Stegostoma tigrinum: one gene and its partners. The protein of the gene in region 1 interacts with the protein of each later gene in a pairwise test. Links are inferred from orthologs where the notes say so. Each region holds a gene or a part of one and is shown in the gene's direction. Other genes may lie near its edges. The genes, in order: vps52, golga1 and aamp.

What was found.
Region 2: the proteins of vps52 (region 1) and golga1 interact in binary tests that used the Homo sapiens proteins (3 or more experiments, as listed by UniProt). The two-hybrid records come from large-scale screens. The link is inferred for Stegostoma tigrinum from reciprocal best matches to the Homo sapiens genes VPS52 and GOLGA1.
Region 3: the proteins of vps52 (region 1) and aamp interact in a two-hybrid assay, tested with the Homo sapiens proteins (2 studies listed by BioGRID and IntAct). The link is inferred for Stegostoma tigrinum from reciprocal best matches to the Homo sapiens genes VPS52 and AAMP.

What each region holds. Positions count from the first base shown.
Region 1 is NC_081387.1:27,638,444-27,642,193, forward strand, and holds the start of vps52 (vacuolar protein sorting-associated protein 52 homolog), read left to right. Parts: upstream 1-1,502; 5' UTR 1,503-1,603; coding exon 1,604-1,636; intron 1,637-2,005; exon of another isoform or gene 2,006-2,205; coding exon of another isoform or gene 2,206-2,226; intron 2,227-3,750. UniProt on the Homo sapiens protein: Acts as a component of the GARP complex that is involved in retrograde transport from early and late endosomes to the trans-Golgi network (TGN).
Region 2 is NC_081382.1:26,349,284-26,353,033, reverse strand, and holds the start of golga1 (golgin subfamily A member 1), read left to right. Parts: upstream 1-958; 5' UTR 959-1,090; intron 1,091-1,179; exon of another isoform or gene 1,180-1,368; intron 1,369-2,558; 5' UTR 2,559-2,748; coding exon 2,749-2,880; intron 2,881-3,750. UniProt on the Homo sapiens protein: Involved in vesicular trafficking at the Golgi apparatus level. Involved in endosome-to-Golgi trafficking. Mechanistically, captures transport vesicles arriving from endosomes via the protein TBC1D23.
Region 3 is NC_081360.1:104,059,494-104,063,243, forward strand, and holds the start of aamp (angio-associated migratory cell protein), read left to right. Parts: upstream 1-898; 5' UTR 899-1,343; coding exon 1,344-1,443; intron 1,444-3,750. Other genes in the region: si:ch73-71c20.5 (DUF4748 domain-containing protein), read right to left, coding at 856-892. UniProt on the Homo sapiens protein: Plays a role in angiogenesis and cell migration. In smooth muscle cell migration, may act through the RhoA pathway.

The sequences.
Region 1 (3,750 bases):
GACGTGTAGGGGGTTTTAGTTGTGATGGGCAGCAGGTCGGTGCAGGCTTGGAGGGCCGAAGGGCCTGTTCCTCTGCTGTAATTTTCTTTGTTCTTTGTGTCAGCAAGGAAGGCAGGTGTACAATTACCTTCTTAACCACCCTGTCTGCATGTGACGCAAAACCTCACAGAATTATGTCGCTGAATCCCTAGGTGTCCTTGTTGTCCAACACCATCCAATGCCTAACTTTTAATTGTACAGGTCTTACCCTTGTTTGTTTCACTAAAATGTAATCTCACATTCACCCAAATTAAATTCCATCTGATACTCCCTCACCCGCATCCCAGGCATGAAGAACCGCAGGAGATGCTACACTTGTCCCCACACCTCCTCCCTCACCCCCATCCCAGGCCCCAAGATGACATTCCACATTAAGCAGAGGTTCACCTGCACATCTGCCAATGTGGTATACTGTATCGACTGTACCCGGTGTGGCTTCCTCTACATTGGGGAAACCAAGCGGAGGCTTGGGGACCGCTTTGCAGAACACCTCCGCTCAGTTCGCAACAAACAACTGCACCTCCCAGTCGCAAACCATTTCCACTCCCCCTCCCATTCTTTAGATGACATGTCCATCATGGGCCTCCTGCACTGCCACAATGATGCCACCCGAAGGTTGCAGGAACAGCAACTCATATTCCGCTTGGGAACCCTGCAGCCATATGGTATCAATGTGGACTTCACCAGTTTCAAAATCTCCCCTTCCCCCACCGCATCCCTAAACCAGCCCAGTTCATCCCCTCCCCCCACTGCACCACACAACCAGCCCAGCTCTTCCCCCCCACCCACTGCATCCCAAAACCAGTCCAGCCTGTCTCTGCCTCCCTAACCTGTTCTTCCTCTCACCCATCCCTTCCTCCCACCCCAAGCCGCACCCCCAGCTACCTACTAACCCCATCCCACCTCCTTGACCTGTCCGTCTTCCCTGACTGACCTATCCCCTCCCTACCTCCCCACCTATACTCTCTCCACCTATCTTCTTTACTCTCCATCTTCGGTCCGCCTCCCCCTCTCTCCCTATTTATTCCAGTTCCCTCCCCCCATCCCTCTCTCTGATGAAGGGTCTAGGCCCGAAACGTCAGCTTTTGTGCTCCTGAGATGCTGCTGGGCCTGCTGTGTCCATCCAGCCCCACACTTTGCTACCTCATTGCTGAAGGATTAATTAGCAATCGCGGGCAGACCTCGTCCCCGCCCGCTGTGCCTCCGACACTGGGAACCTTTACACATCTACCACCGCGACATCGCTAACACCAGGAGGCCTTACCGCGCCGCCGCGGTGCACCCCGGGAGGACGTGGGCGGCCGCTGTGCGCGCCGGGAGTTGTAGTCTTCGCTCCTTGCGTCCCTCTACTCCCCACCCCCACCACCACCCCCCCCCCCCCCCACCCCCTACACCACCCCCACCCCCTACCGAACTGGGTGAGGATCAGGGTCAAACCGCAGGGACCTTGTGGCCCGGATTTCTTTTTGGGGGGGGGGGGGAGAGAAAAACGAACCCCGCCCCCCCTCGGCTGGCCGGGGGATTCCGGTTCCGGGTGAGGAGACGGGCCCCGGATGTTGTTGCTATGGCGGCGGTGGAAGGCGGAGGAGCGGCTGAGGTAGGGACGGGACCGAAACCCCCCCTCACCCCCCGGGGGGTGGGACCTTGTCTATTCACCCTATCCAAGCCCCTCATGATGTTATAAACCTCTATAAGGTCCCTCCTCAGCCTCTGACGCTCCAGGGAAAATAGCCCCAGCCTATTCAGCCTCTCTCCCTGTAGCTCAAACCCTCCAACCCCAGCAACATCCTTGTAAATCTTTCCTGAACCCTTCCAAGTTTCACACCATCCTTCCTGTAGCAGGGAGACCGGAACTGAGAGCTGTATCCCAAAAGTGGCCCAAACCAATGTCCTGCCCAGCCCCAACATGACCCTCCCAACTCCCTGTACTCAACGCACTGACCAATAAAGGCTAATGTACCGAACACCTTCACCATCCTGTCTCCCTGTGAGTCCACTTTCAAGGAACTGTGATCCTGCACCGCCCCCCCCTCAACAAGGTCTCTGTTCAGCAACAGTCCCCAGGACCTTACCATGAAGGAGTATTAGTCCTGCCATGATTTGCCTTTCCAAGATGCAGCACCTCACATTTATCTAAATTAAACTCCATCTACTTGGCTGATCTGAATGAGATCCCCTTATACTCAGGTAACTTTCTTCACTGTCTACTACACCTCCAATTTTGGTGTCATCTGCAAACTTACTAATCATACCTCCAATTTCATATCTAAATCATTTCTATAAATGACAAAAAGCAGCGGACCCTGCACCGATGCTCGTGGCACACCACTGGCTTCCAGCCTCTAATTTTTTTTAAAAAAAACCCTACTGCCAACCCCTTCTGCCTTCAAACCAATTTTATATCCAATTGGTTAGCTGCCCCCTAGATCCCATGTGATCTAATCATGCTAACCAGCCTACCATGTGGAATCTTGCCAGATGCCGCACTGAAATCCATTTGGACAATATTCACCGCACTGCCTTCGTCAGTTTTCTTTGTCACGTTTTCAAACAACTCAGTTAAGTTATTGAGACATGATTTCCCACCTGCAGAGCCATGTTGATTATCCCCAATCAGTCCTTACCTTTCCAAATGTGTAGGAGGAGGGAGGGGAGGATTCACAGATAGACAGGGCAGTGAAGGTGGTGTTCAGTACGCTTTAGCCTTTATTAGTGAGTGCATTGAGTAGAGGAGTTGGGAGGGTCATGTTGGGGCCATACAGAACATTGGTCAGAGCCACTTTTGGAATACAGCGTGTTGAAGCCTCTGAAGTGTGACTTGAATCTGTGAAGGACCTTGAGTTGCTGTCTTTCAGACTTGAGGCTGAAGCAATGATTTCTTGGCTTGTGCAGCTGAAGCGAAAACTTGCCATGTTATTTTGTTTAAAAGGAGAGAAGGGGCAGTGAATTGTCCACTGTTCATCCCTCAATCAGCAGCAGCAGTCAACAAAATAATTGGACCTTATTTAATTAATTTCTTAGAGCTGGTTCACTCAATTGATTCCAGAGATGAGGGGTTTGCCTTTTGAAGAGAGGCAGAGCAGTTTAGGCTTACGCTGTCTGGAGTGTAGAAGAAAGAGAGGATATCTAATTGAGGGATAGAAGATGCTAATGGGGATTGAGAAAGTAGACATAGAGAGGATGTTTCCCCTTGAGGGGCAGTCTGGAAGGAGAGGTCATAGATTGGCCATGCTAAGTTGCCCATAGTGTCTAGGGTAAGGGGTGGGTCTAGGTAGTATACTCTTCAGAGGGTCACTGTGGACTTGATGGACCAGATGGCCTGCTTCCACACTGTAGGGATTCTATGATTTTCGGATAAGGGATGGCAGATTTAAAACAGAGATGAGGAGAAGTTACTTCTCTCAAAGAGCTGTGAACCTGTAGAATTCACTGCCTCAACGGATGTTGAGACACTGGGTCAACTTTTACTCGCTCACAGGATGAGGGTGTTGCTGGCTACACCTGCGTTTACTGCCCGTCCCTAATTGCCCTGAGGGAAGTTAAAAGTCCACCCAACATTGAAGTGATTGATTTTTAAATTAGTGGAAGGGTTGAAGGATTATGGGCAGGAGAGGAGTTGAGGCTGAGATAAGATCAGGCAGATTGGCATCAAATGGTGGAACAGGCTCAATGGGCTGGATTCCAGCTCCTGATTCTGATGTGGGTTTTTTT
Region 2 (3,750 bases), on another chromosome or scaffold:
GGTAGGGAGGGGATAGGTCAGTCCAGGGAAGACGGACAGGTCAAGGATGTGGGATGAGGTTAGTAGGTAGGAGATGGAGGTGCGGCTTGGGGTGGGAGGAAGGGATAGGTGAGAGGAAGAACAGGTTAGGGAGGCAGAGACAGGCTGGACTGGTTTTGGGATGCAGTGGGTGGAGGGGAAGAGCTGGGCTGGTTGTGTGGTGCAGTGGGGGGAGGGGACGAACTGGGCTGGTTTAGGGATGCGGTGGGGGAAGGGGAGATTTTGAAGCTGGTGAAGTCCACATTGATACCATTGGGCTGCAGGGTTCCCAGGTTTCCAGTCTAGATGACTCTTCCTCAGACCTTTGAGACATCGGTACTATTAGACTATCAACTGCCTTGATTCAGTTCTGCTGGCAGCTTGCGATTGAATTAGGAACAGGACGTCTCTCGAGCCTATCTGCTATTTTAATGAGATCGTAGCTGATCATACCCTAAGGCCTATATCCCTAAATTAAGAGGGCAATATTCCATCTTGCAAAGGAGAAGCAGGCTATTCAGCCCATCAAGTCCACATGCCCCACAATCAGCAGCCTCACTTCCGTGTTTTATCTCGAGTGCAGTTTCAGTTTCCTACTTCATGTGTGGTGTGTGAATTTGTTTTAAAAAATCCTAGTGCTTTTTCACTCGGGTTCCTTGCAGCAGTGACAAGAAGATGTAACGTCTGGGAGAATTGACACGCTGTGTTGAAGGGAAATCTGGGGCCCGTTGATGTTGAATTCGAGTCCTCCGAGACTCTTGGAGCAGCACTGTCTCACTAGTTCACTCTTGATCAGGTCGATACTGTTGTTGGCGTCGTCGGCGCCTCCCCCACTGCTGCTGACGGGGATTTGTTTTGGTGGGCTTGGCTACGGTCCAATCAGCAGTCCCAATACATCAGCGAATGGGTACAATGGCACAAGTCCCCGATCTAACGTTCAATCTGATTGGACTGAAGGAAAGCCGCTGGGAACTTGATGACGTTGCGGCCACGTCGGCTGAGCGGAGGTGAGAAAGGCCGACAACAGGATGGAGCAGTAGTGTATAGAGCCTTGCTGCTAACACACACTCAGGTACTTGGTCGCCATGAGAAAGTGCCTGCTCGGGTGTCCTCGCTCTCCGGAGTTTATGGTTCCTACCGTTATCGGCAATTTCGTGTCGAACTTCTCGGAAGTGACCTGCTATTTATAACAGATCCGGCCGAGCAGAAGCTTTCAGTGGGTAGTTGATTGCTTAGTGAACCATGAGTGATGACCCAAGTTGGCCGTATCGGCGGACGCTCGGCCGCTCGCCCTCCTTTGGTGAACTAAAACCTGCTGCCGAGCCCACCTTATTGACGAGCTGCTGATTGGTGGGTTGGCTGTTCTGTCCCTCGACAGGGATGGACGCGCTTTCCGACTGGTCCCGTAAACTGTCACTCAAGAAGCTGTCAGCTGCTGTTCCGAAACAAAACAGAAATTGCTGGAAAAGCGCAGCAGGTCTGGTAGCATCTGTGAAGATCCGTTCTGAGGAAAGACCACGGGACCCCGAAACGTTAACTCTGATTTTTTTTTTCTTCACAGATGTTGCCAGACCCGCTGAGCTTTTTCAGCAATTTCTGTTTTGTTTCAAAGATTTATTCTTTCTGTTTCACGATTTCTCCCAGTAAATTCCCCATAAATGATGTTAAACTAACAGACGTGTTGCTACCTAGGTTGTCCCTCCTGTGCCTTAAATAATGGATCACCCAAGGACATTGTTCCTGAATCATGAGAAATTTATAAAGTCTGACTAATCCATTTGGAATTTATTCACCTGAACTGGCTCCAGTCCATTTGTTTGATTCCTTTTGAGTCATATTTTCTTACAGGAAAGAAACTTTGAATAATACTGTGATTAGTTGATTAGAAGTAGTTTTGAATCCCAAAGATTAGGTGACCATAACTTCTGGAAAAAGTAGCAGAAACAAAATGCTGTATTGTTAAGGAAAATGAAACAGCACATTGAATAGTCTTGTTCATAGGCAAAACATGGTCTTGTCAGAATTCTTGAAGAATGGAATTTACCAACAGTCCTTGGGGAAATAGAATGTGACAATTCTGGCATCAAAGAAGTAGCACAAAAACTGGTATCATGTCATTAAACTTTAATTAATCTTTTCTGCAGTTTGGTCCAATGTAAGCGCGACGCAAAATACTCTTTTCTCATAGTATTGGCACTGAGCCCGCGTGCAAACACCCGGTGCCCGTTTTTGTGCTTGAACTTGGGTTGGATGGAACAATTTTGAAATGTTTACTTAATTTTCTTCCCATTTCCCTTTCTTAGTGGTTACATATTTGTATGTTGGCTGCCAGGTCTTCTAAAGTAGAATTTAGGGTAGGAAACAAAGAAATGTGGGTATACAGGAGAATTGCAGTGGACTTCAGTTGTGAAACCCAAGCTGTATAGAATAATGAAACAAAGTTTTTTTTTTAAAACATCATTTCTGACATATTATGATTGCAGTTGAGAACCAGTAGAAATGTTATTTTCTTGATCTAATGTACTTTATTTTGCTGACAGGTGATGCAATGGACGGTTTTTGCAGTAGATATAAAAAGTGAGCCTTATTAAGGAGCAGCTAGGAGCCAAACAGAGTACATTGTTTTCTAAAGCACATCCACTGTCTCTCTTCCAAACTCATCTGAGACTTCAGATAACCTTAAACAGTTTGGTGGTTTGGAACACCTCTGAAAAATATAGCTGAAGAACCATGTTTGCAAAACTGAAAAAGAAGATTGCTGAAGAGGCAGGCAACACCTCACGTCCTGGTACGGCACGGATTCCAAGATCGGTCAGCAGAGACTCCATTACTTCAATAGGAGCTGACTCTGGAGAAGATATTGTATGTATTTTGTATGTCTAAAATTGAGATCTTTGAAGAGGCTTTGTGGAAAGATTGTGATTTCATCAGGCTGAATCAACAGTTGCAGTTAGTCATAGAGCTGTATGCTCAGCCTAACTCCTCCATGCCGACCAGATACCCATAATAAATCTAGTCCCGTTTGCCAGCAATTGTCCCACATCCCCCTAATTCATATATGCATCCAGATGTTTCTTAAATTATTGTAATTATACCAGCCTCTGCCACTTCCACTGGCAGCTCATTCCATACATGCAACACACTCTTCTTCATAAAAACGCCACTCCTTAGGTCACTTCTGAATCTTTCCCCTCTCAGTTTAAACCTATGGCTACTAGTTTTGTACTCCCACAACTCGGGGGAAAAGAACTTGTCTATTCAGCCTATCCATGTGCCTCATGACTTTACAAACCTCTAAAAGGTCACCCCTCACCCTCTGCTCCAGGGGAAATAATATCAGCCTATTCAGTCTTCCTCTATGGCTCAAAACTCTCCAACCCTGGCAACATCCTTGTAAATCTGTTTTGAACCATTTCAAGTCTCACAACATCCTTTCTTTAGCAGGGAGGCCGTGCAATATTCTAATAGTGGCTTAACCAATGCCCACTGCAGCTGCAACAAGACCTCCCAACTCCTGTACTCAATGCAGTGACCAATAAAGGCAAGCAAACCAAATGCGTTTTTCACTATCCTGTTTATGTGGAACTTCACTTTCAAAGGAATAACATATGAACCTGCACTCCAAGGTCTCTTTGTTCAGCAGCACTCCCCAGAACCTTACCGTTGTAGATAGGTCTTGCCCTGATTTGCCTTTTCAAAATGCAGCACCTTGCATTTGTCGAAATTAAACTC
Region 3 (3,750 bases), on another chromosome or scaffold:
TGCAACCGCAGGAAATGCTACACTTGCCCCCACACCTCCTCCCTCACCCCTATCCCAGGCCCCAAGATGACATTCCACATTAAGCAGAGGTTCACCTGCACATCTGCCAATGTGGTATACTGCATCCACTGTACCCGGTGTGGCTTCCTCTACATTGGGGAAACCAAGCGGAGGCTTGGGGACCGCTTTGCAGAACACCTCCGCTCAGTCTGCAACAAACAACTGCACCTCCCAGTCGCAAACCATTTCCACTCCCCCTCCCATTCTCTAGATGACATGTCCATCATGGGCCTCCTGCACTGCCACAATGATGCCACCCGAAGGTTGCAGGAACAGCAACTCATATTCCGCCTGGGAACCCTGCAGCCATATGGTATCAATGTGGACTTCACCAGTTTCAAAATCTCCCCTTCCCCCACTGCATCCCTAAACCAGCCCAGTTCATCCCCTCCCCGCACTGCACCACACAACCAGCCCAGCTCTTCCCCCCCACCCACTGCATCCCAAAACCAGTCCAACCTGTCTCTGCCTCCCTAACCGGTTCTTCCTCTCACCCATCCCTTCCTCCCACCCCAAGCTGCACCCCCAGCTACCTACTAACCTCATCCCACCTCCTTGACCTGTCCGTCTTCCCTGGACTGACCTATCCCCTCCCTACCTCCCCACCTATACTCTCCTCTCCACCTATCTTCTTTTCTCTCCATCTTCGGTCCGCCTCCCCCTCTCTCCCTATTTATTCCAGTTCCCTCACCCCATCCCCCTCTCTGATGAAGGGTCTAGGCCCGAAACGTCAGCTTTTGTGCTCCTGAGATGCTGCTGGGCCTGCTGTGTTCATCCAGCCTCACATTTTATTACCTCTACTCCTGGAACAGGTCCTCCCAGCTACTGCCATCTTGATCCTCCAGAATCCCGGCAAGCAGCGGGGAGCACGGCAACTTCCTCACGGCTCATGCGCAGATACAGCCGCTGGTGAGACGGGACTTCAAATTCACGATTCGACTTGATTTACTCCAACGGATGACACTTAGGAGCGATCTGGGAAGAAAGACTCCATGAGGAGGAATCAGAGACGGTTTGCCCTCCATCAAGGCAGGACTACAACTCCCAGGGAGTCCCGCGGCGTGTAGACGGAACCGAACCCCGGATATTCCTTTCCTCACGGTTGTCCGGGTGATACCGAAAGCCGGTTCTGGATTGGCTGGAAACGTTGTCAATCATACATTGACCTTCCGGTTGGTGAGTCGGGCCTCGACAGGGCGCCTGCGAAAAGCCGCCTGGTCAACATGACCGGGTTAAGTCAGTTAGTGTAACTAGGTGAGCGGTAACTAGGGACGTGAGGGAGAATGGAAGAGGGGGAGCTGAGCCCCCAGCTGGAGTTACACCAAGGCGAGGAGATTGTGGAAGTGATCGAACTGAATCCCAACCAACAGCCGCAGGAGGAGGGTAAACATAGAGAGGGGGAGGGGCGTTAATGTGTAGGTGGGGGGCGAACATGCGTAGGAGGGGGCGGGGGGGAGGCGTATGGGGGGGTGAACACGCGTAGGAGGGTGGGGGGCGACTTATGGGGGGGCGGGGGGGCGACGTATGGGGGGGCGGGGGGGCGACGTATGGGGGGGCGAACACGTATGGGGGGGGCGAGGGGGAGACGTATTGCGGGGGGGCGAGGGGGAGACGTATTGCGGGGGGGGCGAACACGTATGGGGGGGGCGGGGGGGAGACGTATTGCGGGGGGGGCGAACACGTATGGGGGGGGCGGGGGGGAGACGTATTGCGGGGGGGGCGAACACGTATGGGGGGGGCGGGGGGGGGCGAACACGTATGGGGGGGGCGGGGGGGAGACGTATTGCGGGGGGGCGAACACGTATGGGGGGGGCGGGGGGGGGCGAACACGTATGGGGGGGGCGGGGGGGGGCGAACACGTATGGGGGGGGCGGGGGGGAGACGTATTGCGGGGGGGCGAACACGTATGGGGGGGGCGGGGGGGAGACGTATTGCGGGGGGGGCGAACACGTATGGGGGGGGCGGGGGGGAGACGTATTGCGGGGGGGGCGAACACGTATGGGGGGGGCGGGGGGGAGACGTATTGCGGGGGGGGGCGAACACGTATGGGGGGGGGCGGGGGGGAGACGTATTGCGGGGGGGGGCGAACACGTATGGGGGGGGCGGGGGGGAGACGTATTGCGGGGGGGGGCGAACACGTATGGGGGGGGCGGGGGGGAGACGTATTGCGGGGGGGGGCGAACACGTATGGGGGGGGCGGGGGGGAGACGTATTGCGGGGGGGGCGAACACGTATGGGGGGGGCGGGGGGGAGACGTATTGCGGGGGGGGGCGAACACGTATGGGGGGGGCGGGGGGGAGACGTATTGCGGGGGGGGGGCGAACACGTATGGGGGGGCGGGGGGGAGACGTATTGCGGGGGGGGGCGAACACGTATGGGGGGGGCGGGGGGAAGACGTATTGCGGGGGGGGCGAACACGTATGGGGGGGGCGGGGGGGAGACGTATTGCGGGGGGGGGCGAACACGTATGGGGGGGGCGGGGGGGAGACGTATTGCGGGGGGGGGCGAACACGTATGGGGGGGGCGGGGGGGAGACGTATTGCGGGGGGGGGCGAACACGTATGGGGGGGGCGGGGGGGAGACGTATTGCGGGGGGGGCGAACACGTATGGGGGGGGCGGGGGGGAGACGTATTGCGGGGGGCGAACACGTATGGGGGGGCGGGGGGGAGACGTATGGGGGGGGCGGGGGGGAGACGTATTGCGGGGGGCGAACACGTATGGGGGGGGCGGGGGGGAGACGTATTGCGGGTGGCGAACACGTATGGGGGGCGGGGGGGGGAACACGTATGGGGGGGCGGGGGGAGACGTATTGCGGGGGGTGAACACGTATGGGGGGGCGGGGGGAGACGTATTGCGGGGGGCGAACACGTATGGGGGGGCGGGGGGGAGACGTATGGGGGGGGCGGGGGGGAGACGTATTGCGGGGGGCGAACACGTATGGGGGGGGCGGGGGGGAGACGTATTGCGGGTGGCGAACACGTATGGGGGGCGGGGGGGGAACACGTATGGGGGGGCGGGGGGAGACGTATTGCGGGGGGTGAACACGTATGGGGGGGCGGGGGGGAGACGTATTGCGGGGGGTGAACACGTATGGGGGGGGAGACGTATTGCGAGGGGTGAACACGTATGGGGGGGGAGACGTATTGCGGGGAGACGTATTGCGGGGGGTGAACACGTATGGGGGGGGAGACGTATTGCGGGGGGTGAACTCGTATGGGGGGGGGAGACGTATTGCGGGGGGTGAACACGTATGGGGGGGGGAGACGTATTGCGGGGGGTGAACACGTATGGGGGGGGAGACGTATTGCGGGGGGTGAACACGTATGGGGGGGGAGACGTATTGCGGGGGGTGAACACGTATGGGGGGGGAGACGTATTGCGGGGGGTGAACACGTATGGGGGGGCGGGGGGGAGACGTATTGCGGGGGGTGAACACGTATGGGGGGGCGGGGGGGAGACGTATGGGGGGGGTGAACACGTATGGGGGGGCGGGGGGGAGACGTATGGGGGGGTGAACACGTATGGGGGGGGCGGGGGGGGTGAACATACAGAGCGGCGGGGGGGAAATGTATCGGTGGGGGTGAACATATGGAAGGGCGGGGGGGGGAGATGTATTGGGAGGGACAGACGTACACACAGGAGATGTGCGGGGGAGGGGGGTGTGATACCTGGGGGAGGCGGGGATGAAG